Linked DNA regions of Mus musculus. The protein of the gene in region 3 interacts with the protein of the main gene of each other region in a pairwise test. Links are inferred from orthologs where the notes say so. Each region holds a gene or a part of one and is shown on either strand. Other genes may lie near its edges.

Region 1 (3,500 bases), on a different chromosome or scaffold from region 3:
CCTAAGGTTCTGGATTTAGAGTTGGGGCTCTGCATTGCTTTCTTGAACATTCTTTCTTCAGGCTAGCTTGGACTTCTGTTTCCCGAGATCCTATCTTCTACCTCTTTCTCTGTTGAAGTCACTTGATGCTAATGTTCCTTGTCTTGAAGCTCATGCTAGAGAAGCCCTCTCCTACTTTAGCTTCAGCCCCAGCTCTAGGTAGGTTCTCCTTCTCCCCAATAGTAGGAGCTTATCTAATCATGAGCAGGAGCTTTTCTCCTGTTGGCAGTCTGTGATCCCGAGCTGCCTAGGGGTCCGTAGGGGTTCATGAAAGCTGCCTCACAGTTTTTTTTCTTTTTTTTTCTCTCTCTCTCTCTCTCTCTCTCTCTCTCTCTCTCTCTCTTTCTTTCTTTCTCTCTCTCTCTCTCTCTCTCTCTCTCTTTCTCTCTTTCTCTCTTTCTCTCTTTCTTTCTGGCTCACTTTGTAGCCTTGGCTGTCCTGGAGCTCACTATATGGACTAGGCTGGCCTCTACCTCACAGAGCTCCTCCTGTTTCTGCCTCTGAGGTGCTGGGATTTAAAGGTGTGTGCCACTGCAACCAGCTTCAAAGAGTGAAAGACACTGAGCACTTGTTTGCTTTTCTGATTTATTTTTATTATTTTAAAATTACATGTGTATCTGTGTGGGTGTATGTTTGACTTCAGTTCCCTGTGGAGGCGGAGGCGTCAGATTGCTCTGGACCTAGGGTGAGAGGTGGTAATGAGCCGCCCAGTGTTGGGAACCAAGCTTAGGCTCTCTGGGAAAAGCAAGTGAGTACTACTAGCCACTGAGCCATCTTTCCAGCCTCCACTCCCCTCACCACCCCAGGGTTTCAGCCAGAATATTAGCAGTAGGTAACAGAATACATGCACTAATATAATATGTGTGTGTGCGCGCGCGCATGCATGTGCTTGCACATGAGCAGTTGCACATGAGCAGTTGCACATGAGCAGTTAAGATATTCTTACATATTCCAGACTGACCTCACACACTGGCTAGGCAGCCAAGGCTGGCCTTGAACTAATCTGGACTCTACTTTCCAAGTCTGAGATTTCCACCATGGCCAGCTCGCTGATGGACAGTTTATGGAAGGGTTTGAAGCTATTAGAAATTGGTAGGATTTGTAGGCCCAGGCACAAGCAGAACAGGCTCAGCTGGGGGTTGACTGCAGCAGTCAAGCTTTGTTGTCCTTTGGGGACAGCAGAGTACCCAGTTTTGGTTGCATTTGTGTTTAATTTTTCTTATTTCTTTCAGTACAGTTGAAAGCAGAGTGTAACAAGGGATATGTCAAAGTACAGCAGGTATGTGTGTTCGCGCCTTGTTTCTCCAGTTTTATACTCGATAGTTTTCTTATGCCGTTGCTTTCGACTGTCTGTGTCAGCTGATGAACGCTCCTCTGTCATGGGGAAGTGATAGAGTGAGTGCCAGGCAGGTAGAGTAAGCAGTTAATATAGCACCAGCTCTATCACCAATGGCATTACTGCTATTACACATTATACATTATACATTATACATTATACATTATAACGGTGTATCCACAGATGGGGGTCAACCCCACCAGCATTGACTCGGGCGTCATCGGGAAGGACCAAGAGAAGAAGCTGCTGCCTGGTCAGGTTCTCCACATGGTGAATGGACTTTATCCATACATCGTAGAGTTTGAGGAAGTGGCAGAGAGCCCTAACCTAACACAGAGGAAGAGAAAGAGGTCAGACTGTGATAGTGAGGAGATGGAAGCTGAGTCTGGGACAGGGCTGGCACCTGGGAGCAGCCCCAGCCAGTGCTCTGTGTCCCCTAAGAAGGACAAGAATGGAGCCACCAAAAAGGTGAGAATGGTGTGCTTGAAAGATGCTGTGGAGATGAATTGACATAATGACTGCTTAATTGTTGTGTACACGGTACATTGTTTGTACACAGTGAGATGGTATTAATCTAATGAGGGTTCTTAACCATGATGAAAGAGTCACTTGTTTGTGGCCTGAAAATCACTTGGTGAATGTCCCTTTAGATTCTTTTCTATTAAGTTCCTGAGGTAAACCACTTGAAGAAAGACAGGGCAGTCAGTAATGACAGTGTGACACACCCTGCCCAGCTTAGTGAGGGAATGAAAAAAGGACAGACACACATACAGAGAAGCTGGAAATGGGTAGGCTCTGTTACCTAATGGAGCTGCAGCACCACCAACAGCCCGGAAACTCAGCATGGTTGTTTTATACATCTGAATTGAGGAGGTGGCTTTATTGTGTATAGCTGAACAGGGAGACAGGTTTAGGTAACTCTGGTAGGAGGTCTTTGTAAGGGAACAGTCTCAGGCTATAAACATCTTGCAGGAGGAGTTGTGATTGACGGCTTCTGCATGCACTGCACAGCTAGCCATTTATAACCACTTGGACCAGAGGAGGGGTTTGTCATCCCTCTGGGCCTTATCCATCTAGGCACTGAAGTTCTCTCCATGACTGGTCATGGCAACAACACACATTCATTCAGGACTTCATCCACTCCTTACACATCTATTCCCATTATAGTATAATTAACGTTTAATACTAAAATGGGTCATTTGCCTGTCTACCTACCGGTTAACACTGAAGCCTTCATAGATAGTTTTTCACATGTTGATGTCAAAGGAGACACTTGGGTAGGCTGCAGCTGGAGTGTAAGCAGGCAAGGAGGACGATTTAAAACTGGCAGTTTTGGCTTTATGGAGCTTTTCCTGGGGAGATGTGAATGGATCTCTCTTCATCCCAGATATGGCACTAATGACAGACCAACCATGCCACCCAAGTTTAAGTTGGTAAACCATCGAGTCTAATCGTGGTTACAGGGGCCTGGGCAGCTTAAGTGTGACTACTCTATCAGAGAGGAGGCTCCCTCTCCAGCAGCTGATAGCTGCTTGTGTGTCCTCCCTCCTCGTCCATCTCCCAGTAAGTGAATATTTGGCCCAGTACTGCCACCGTCTTACTCAGGTAATATTAGCTGCTCCTAGTCAAGGTAGCAATCCTTGCACATTGGACAAAGTTCCATGGCAGGCCTCCATCCTTACACCCAGGTCTAGATGTAGAAGATGGTGGGGAAGCTTGTGGTCCTAAAGGGCGATGGGCCGAAGCAAAGGAAGCCTAGTGTCATTCTCAAAGCTAACCTTCCTTCCATGTTTCATTTGGACGCTGCTGATAAGTAGTATTAGCTACATTTCATTACTGGCATTCTCATTTACATTGTTTTTTTATTTAGGAATCACTGGGCCACTGGAGTCAAGGCTTGAAGATGTCTATGAAAGACCCCAAAATGCAGGTCAGAATAAAATTGTATACTTTAGTGTCTGTCATAGAGTCCATGAGCATGCTACTAACGTGGTAACTATAGATGAAGCCAAAGGATGCCAGCTCTTCCTCGTGGGATTCTGTTACTGCACTGGTCTATGAGGACAAGAATCACTTAACACTACATTTTTGGTCTCTTCTCTAAATGTTATACTATACCCACACT
Region 2 (3,500 bases), on a different chromosome or scaffold from region 3:
TTTGAAATAAAGAATGCCTGAAATTTTTTTAAATCAAAATGTTTGTATTTGTAACAAAGAGAAGAAGTAACTTTCATTGAAATGTTTATATTTATGAACAAGGTGGGGGGAGAATGGCATTTTGAATTTGAGATATACCCCATACCCACACATGTACATATCTATAAAATCATTACAAAAATCTACCTGTTCTTCAGCCTCCGTGTTATTGCTGTAAACTCTCCCTTCTATCAAATGGATAGTGTTCCAAGTCTCTATATTTTCTAAATTTACGTTCCTCTTTGTTTTGTGTTTTAAATTTTTAAAAATTAATATACAAATGGGGTTTACTATGATATTTGCATATATTTTATTATAATTTATTATAATGTATCCCCTCTGATGTCCTCTGTGCTCCTTTTTGTTTTCTGTTTTTGTTTTTGTTTTTTTGTTTGTTTGTTTTTGTCCTTTTTGTTTTCTGAGACAAAGTCTTCCTATATATGGTATAGGTCTGGCTGTCCTGGAACTTGCTGTGAAGGCCAGGCTGGCTTCGAACTCACAGAGATCCTCCTGCCTCTGACTCCGAGTTCTGGGCTTAAAGGCATGCACCACCATGCCCAGCTCTCTGTGCAACTCTTACCTCCCCTAACTTGCTGGTTCCTTCCCTTCCCAAATAACCCCTTCCTGCTCTCGTTCCACGGCTGTTACCTCACCCTGACTCTTTCACTTCTGCCTGAAGATCCACTCCCTCTTCAGCCTCTTTGTAGTTTAATGGCCCGAAACGCCTGTCCTCCCTGCCCCTGCCCCCTAGTATAGGTTCCATATCTGAGAAAAGTGTAGTATTTGTCCATCTCTGTCTAACTCATTTCACATAACACGATGGTTTGCAGTTCCCTCCATTTCTCTGCAAATGGTATGATGCTTACAATGTGGTTCTCATAAGTATGCAGTAGAATTCCCTAGAGACCACAGAACATTATTGTTGTTAATGATCAAATGCAGAAACAAGGAAAAGCCAACTGCCTTTTCTTAAGCATGCATTACATCTTCATGAATTTTATATTGGCATTAAAGAGTATATAAGGGCCAGTAGGATGACTCAATGGCTATGCTAGATAATTCTTTTTGTTGTTGTCGTCATCATCATCATCATTAATTTTGTCGACTGGACACAAGCTAGAGTCATTTGAGAGGAGGGAGCCTCAATTGAGAAATAATACCTCCATGAAGTTGGGCTATGGGTGAGACTGTGAGACATTTTCTTGATTGATTGCTGTGTGATGGCTCAGCACATTGTGGGCAGTGTCAACCCTGGGCAGGTGGTCTTGAGTTGTATAAGAAAGCAGGCTGAGCAAGCCTTGAAGGGTGAGCAAGCCAGTAAGCAACATTCCTGCCCTGATTCCTTCCAGGATGAAGTGTGACCTTCTTAGGTTGTGAGTGGAGATAAACCCATTTATCCTCAAGTTAATGTTTGGTCATGACATCTTATCACAGCAATAGAAAGCAAACCAAGACAGTGGGTAAAGGCACTTGCCACCAAGCCTTATGACCTGAGTTGGGTCCCTAAAACACACATAGTCCAGGGAAAGAGTGAACTCCCCCTCCCCCATATAGATAAATAAATAAACGTAAAGAAGATTTTTTTTAAAGATGTTAAGATGTTATTTATAATATGTGAAAAGACATTTTCACTGTTATCTTAAATAAACAAGTGTACTTTTCTTATTTCTCATTTTAAATTTATACAGGGCAATCCCCCCACATAATCAGAGGGCACTCAAATTCTAGTAATAAATTTTAAGGCCATAAGAGAGGCCGGAACCAAAGAGTTTGGAAAATAGTTTTAGAAAACAGGATAGTATACTTTGTGTAGGCAAAAGAGTTTAAAGATCAGAAACATTGGGTCTTTCTAGAATGTTGAATGTTTTTATCTTAGCATAGGATGCACGGTCTTTTAAGGCTATAGATGCTTATGTTTGTTGTATACCTACATGAACAATATAATGCTTACAATCGACCTTTTATACATGTCACTGATCATGTGACACTGAGAGTCCTGGGCTGACTCAGTGTTCCTGCTCGAGAGAGGAAGGGACCTGGGAAAATGAAGCCCATACTGAAATGGACCAAAGTCTCATGCGGTAGGCGACTTTATTCAGAACCCTAGACAGTGTGTACTGTGGGGTAAGAAAGGCCACAGGAGTTACGTTCTCGAGAGTTCAGTCTGAACACAATTACAAGAACTGGCTGCACACGGCGAAAACGTGTTTCCATAGAGGTAGAAAGGATATTCTAAACATTTCATTGACTGGCAGCTGCAAGCAATAATGAGTGATTGGAAGTAACCTCACTCTTACCTGCTACACCTGGGAGGAGCACAGACGCACCTTCAAGATCAGTTCTGTGTTTTGAATAAACTGAAACTACAAGACTCTGTTTCCTCGCAGTGTTTGTTCTCACAGGACGGCGTTCCTGGACCATTTTCCAGCAACCAGATGTCAAGTTGGTGGACAACATGGCATGGGGATCTCACCTGTGTTTACGTCATCAACATGGGAATTTGGTTTCTTTCTGGAATAAAGATACTGGTTGGCCTCGCTCACAGCCATTACAAACCCATAGCTTCCTATTGTTTTTCCTCTGACAGCAAGTTTATCGTCCTCACAGGAGGAACCCCCTCCACTTTCAACACTTCAGCCACCCTGGTGACAGTGACTATGGAGAGGTACATGGCACAGATGAAGGTGTGATTGGTGACAGGCCCGAGTGTCCCTATGGAGCGTCTTGTTACAGGTAAGGAGGCTGCGCCATGTGGCTGCCCTTCTCCCTAATCGCTTCTTAGCCAGCTCAGACGGCCTGACTGGAGCCCCCATCTCAAGCCTACAGCATAGATTTTATTAAGTTTATGTGGAACACAGAGTTTCTCTCATGTAACCCTAAATTGTTGTTAATCTTATAGGTAACTGAAGTTTTTCTGTATTTCTGTCTAAAATGCAATCAGGTTAACTTATAAGACATCCTAATACATGTTCTATGAAGACTCTGAGGTGTGATATAAGCCTACTGGGGATTTAATTTCTATTTCTGCTTCCTCAACTTCTACTAATCTACTCCTCTTGCCAACACCCAGAACTCAGGCACAGCTGAAGAACTCGGGAGCCTTCCCTTTGCTCGTTCATGCTGTCGCCTCCTCCTCAGGCTGAGTAGACCTCTCCACACCACAGTCTTTCTTGACCAGAATGTCTCCCCACCCAGGCAGCATGCACGTTACATTGACAGAAAGGAGTCTTGGTATTTTGAAACCTTGTTTATTAGGTGAATGAACTTGAACTTAACCAAAGTACAAAATCAAGTACAAAACAAACCTAAGGAACTCTACTGCAGACAGCGGTTTGTTTCTAGGTGATCTTGAGTACAGGTTACAGACTGAATCTTCTGGCTACCATAAAGTTGATGCAGATAGCCTGTTTGTACTGAGCAGAGCAGGGCACTTACGCATGTATTCTGCAAATGCTCCAAGC
Region 3 (4,119 bases):
ATTATCTTGATTTTATCTAAGTAGGAGAGGATGTAAAATGTACCTTTGACTAAGAGCAAAGTCATTCTACTTGTTTCTCGGTAAATAGGCAAGAAAGCAACTTTTCAAGTTCTGTAACTGTTTATTAACATCCTTTTGACCAAGAATATACTATCTGCAGTACGAAGTAAAAAAAAAAAAAAAGGCTTTAATGGACTCAAATTCAGTATCTTCTAATCGTAGAATTTGAGGTCTAGTGGGGGTGGGAGAGTCCTGGCTGATTTTGAGATGATAACACAACAAGCTTTCTCTAGAAATATAGTTATAAATGGCTTCTAAACCCACTGAAGTGATAGTGAAGGGAGATTCCTGCATTTACCAGACTACTGAAAAGATGCATTCATAGATCTTTAAAAGTTAATTACTAATGTTTACTTTACTCAGGGGCTTTCTGTTCCTTGTCCTGACCTTTGTTGTTGTTGCTATTTGTGATTTATAGTGTAAGGTTTTCTGAGGTTTAAACTATTAAACAATCAATAATAACACGCATAGGAACTCCCAAAGTGAGTGGTGGTCTGCGAGTAAGGCTCAAGTTCCTTCGAGACAGTAACTAAAATCATTAAAAACATTCGTTTGCAAAGAAGTGTCTTTAGAATTGAAAAAACGATGAGGGAGGGGCCCTATCTCGCCATTGATTCCACAGGTAAAACGGAAGCAGTAGTATCTAGTGTTAAGAAAACCGGCAATCCATTAATTACTGCAGAAAGATGCAGGTTGGGTGACACAGGGAACACATAAAAGAAAGGGGAAAGGGGGAGACTGAGACTCCAGCGTTTGAAAGTGTATATCCGTCCAGATATTTGTAGCAGATGGCAATCGGCTTAGTGGAATGCCACCGTAATTCCACACTAAACAACGCAGCAAGTCGGCCTCTTGGCGAGGGGCCGAGTCCACCACCCGGGTTCTTCCTAGGACTGTTGGCCTGATGCTCCGGGATGTGCATCGCGGCCGCATGACTCCCAGCCTGTGCACCCTCGGATCCCCGGAGAATCACGCTAGCGCCAGGGCTCCCGCGCCCCACAGCGCCCGCACCATCCCCGCCGCCCCGCACGAGCCGCGGCCCCGCCGAGAAACTCAACCGCGGCCAGGAAGCCCAGGTTCTTACCATAGTGAGGCCGGTGCTGGTCCAGCCACATCACCCTTCCGGGCCGGGGCGGAAGAGGATGCAGGCCCGCTGTGCTTCCCGCTCGCTCCAGCGGTCCGGTTGGACCTATCGCGGCGCCTCCGCCCATGCCGCACCATTCAGACTCCGTGATAGGCTTCTGTTACCGGAAGAGGTGGGACTTGGCCGACGACTCGCAAACCACGGTATTAGCGGATTCTCTCATTGGGCGCATCGGTTTATCTCTGGCGTCCACAATTTTTAGAAGACCGGAAGTGGAGTACTGAGAGGTAGGGCCCGGAAGTGGCTGTGGTGTCTTTCCAGAAGCAATGCATTTTTTCCCCCCTTTCTATGTCAACCTCCTGTAGTCCCTGATTTTAGCTTTAAAGCTGCGCAGTGCGTGCTTTTTACCCTGTCTGTGACCCCCTGAGCCTTTTGTAGATGTAAGGTTTTCCCAATGTGAGCACCTGTTGGGCTCCTTCCTAAGTGTCTCTTTCTGTGTCACGTGGAATTTTCAGTCGTGAGGGACTCCTTGGAACTGTGCTGAGCTGCTCTGTGGTGGAGACTTGGATTTAAAAGGCTGCGTCCAGTGTGATGACCCACCAGCCCCTCCCGCCAGCCAATGCTGGCCTTGGCTGGCCCCCTCCTTGTTTGCACACTCTACATCCGGGGCTTAGACGTTCTAGGCCGTGGGGAGAGGGAAAGAACTCTGTGGTAGCTACTGGAAAGGAACGGCCCATTCCCGAGGGGATTATTTGGCTAGTATAAAACCAGTGGGTGAGAAACGATTTCACCTCTAGTTCTCTTTATGAGTTTTGTAGATACGGGGAAGATGTAATCTGATGTGTTCAATTTTATATACATTCTTGGAATGATTCTGAAGTCGGGCACTTTCCCCACTCTTCCAAGTGTATCAAAATTATGGAAATCCTGTGTGTTTAAATAATTGTTTTTTTCCTTTAGTCAGTATGGCTCTAGTATTTATTCAGAATGTTACCCATTCTTTAACTTAATGACCTAGAAGAAGTATAGAAAGCTTTAGTGAAGGAAACTGATGTGATATGTTAATTTCTAACCATTATTTAGCTGAATCATGAGAATCTAGTACTTATGGCAACACAGTACTTTTACCTAGTGCTATGCTATATGTGATTGTGTTTATTACTGCATTGTCATCCAAGATTTTATTTGAAATTATTACTACATTTTTAAAATCAGTTATACCCAACTGCTAAACCTGTTGATCAAATACTCAAGTTCAGAATCTGCATCTTAGTGGTATCAGGAGACTGCAGGACAAGGGATTTCTTTGAGTATTTGAATGGGGGACTGGGGATTAGGCCAATAGGAGAAGTGATTGTCATTGAATAGTCTCAAAATTGCTTTGTGTTATACTTACTATTTAAGTTGACTAACCATGAATGTTTCAAATGTAGACGTAGAAAATATGTTCTGAGCTCAGTAAGTTTGGGTTTTACAGTAGTGAAAGTGTTGGTAGATGTTATAACTGACTCTATTCATATAAAGATTGCTAGGTCCTACTGTTTGACACTTCAGGTTGATGTTTCTGTATGAGGTTCTGGTCCAGGCTCTAGTAAAGAGGCTAAGGTTGTTTAAGATGGTAATTGGTTTGTTGTATTTATGGGCAATTTAGGCCATAGTTTCTTATATATCTCAACTTTAGAATAGAGGCAATTAACACTTTTCAGTTCTTTGTTTTTGTTTTGTTTTGTTTTTCGAGACAGGGTTTCTCTGTATAGCCCTGACTGTCCTAGAACTCATTCTGTAGACCAGGCTGACCTCGAACTCAGAAATCCATCTGCCTGTACCTCCCAAGTGCTGGGATTAAAGGCGTGCACCACCACTGCTGGCAACACTTTTCAATTCTTAAGTTATCCATAGAAGTACATAGTGTCAGGAGGTAGAGTTGAACGTGTGTGTGTGTGTGTATACATATACATATATAAAAAATTTATTATATCCATGTAAAATAGCAAAATTAATATACCAGTGTGACCTGTGGGGAAGCTGCATGGCGATTCGGCACACAAAATCCTTGATTGTGTTTTTTGTTGCAAGTGAATGGTAATCACCATGTTAAATTCCTTTTCTTTATTTCCACTTCTAGTAGCTCTGCTGTGATTTTCATTTCTAATCATCATGGGTTAATTTACTGTTAAGAAAAGATCTTGACTGTGTTATTCAATTATGCAGACATTATTGTCTTCTCTGAATGTGGAAGAATATTTTCAATTTTCATTTCATAAAATCCAGAGTTGTATATAAAATGAGAAATTTATAGTTTTTGTAAGAGTGCATTGAGCTTAGGCCATAGTTACATATAAATTAGGCCATAATACATATAAATAATTAAAACCTGTTTGATACATTGTAAGCATTATAGTGAACATTGAATTTTCATCCTTGAGTGGAGGGCTAATGATGGAAAATTGTTTGATTGTTAGATGCTATTTATACAATAAAAAGTTTAAAATTCATTTAGTTTCTTATGCAGCCAGGCCACTTTCTCTACATTTCCCATTTGTTTTTGATTTCTGATACTGATATTATTTGAGGTTTCTTTTTTTTCCTCCAATTTTTTATTAGGTATTTACTTCATTTACATTTCAAATGCTATCCTGAAAGTCCCATATACCCTCACCCCTCACCCCGCTTTCCTATCCACCAACTCCCACTTCTTGGCCCTGGTGTTTCCCCTGTACAATAGTGTCTGCATTTGGTGGCTGATAATGGGATGGACGGCTGGGTGGGGCAGTGTCTGGATGGTCCATCCTTTCCTCTCAGCTCCAGTTGGAACATGCCCAGGAGAGGTATTGCGGGATCCTCCGGTAGTACAATGTCCAATTTTCTGAGGAACTGCCAGACTGATTTCCAGAGTGGTTATACAAGCTTGCAATCCCACCAGCAATGGAGAATTGTTCCTCTTTCTCCACAACCTCACCAGCATCTGCTGTCAC

The links. The genes of interacting proteins can lie anywhere in the genome.
Region 1: the proteins of Xrcc4 (region 3) and Aptx interact in binary tests that used the Homo sapiens proteins (3 or more experiments, as listed by UniProt). The link is inferred for Mus musculus from reciprocal best matches to the Homo sapiens genes XRCC4 and APTX.
Region 2: the proteins of Xrcc4 (region 3) and Aplf interact in binary tests that used the Homo sapiens proteins (3 or more experiments, as listed by UniProt). The link is inferred for Mus musculus from reciprocal best matches to the Homo sapiens genes XRCC4 and APLF.

What each region holds. Positions count from the first base shown.
Region 1 is NC_000070.6:40,693,195-40,696,694, reverse strand, and holds part of Aptx (aprataxin), read left to right. Parts: intron 1-1,271; coding exon 1,272-1,318; intron 1,319-1,558; coding exon 1,559-1,843; intron 1,844-3,245; coding exon 3,246-3,305; intron 3,306-3,500. UniProt on the Homo sapiens protein: DNA-binding protein involved in single-strand DNA break repair, double-strand DNA break repair and base excision repair.
Region 2 is NC_000072.6:87,641,162-87,644,661, reverse strand, and holds part of Aplf (aprataxin and PNK-like factor), read left to right. Parts: intron 1-2,646; coding exon 2,647-2,772; intron 2,773-3,500. UniProt on the Homo sapiens protein: Histone chaperone involved in single-strand and double-strand DNA break repair.
Region 3 is NC_000079.6:90,086,809-90,090,927, reverse strand, and holds the start of Xrcc4 (DNA repair protein XRCC4), read left to right. Parts: upstream 1-1,319; 5' UTR 1,320-1,431; intron 1,432-1,448; exon of another isoform or gene 1,449-1,918; intron 1,919-4,119. Other genes in the region: Tmem167 (protein kish-A precursor), read right to left, coding at 1,145-1,147.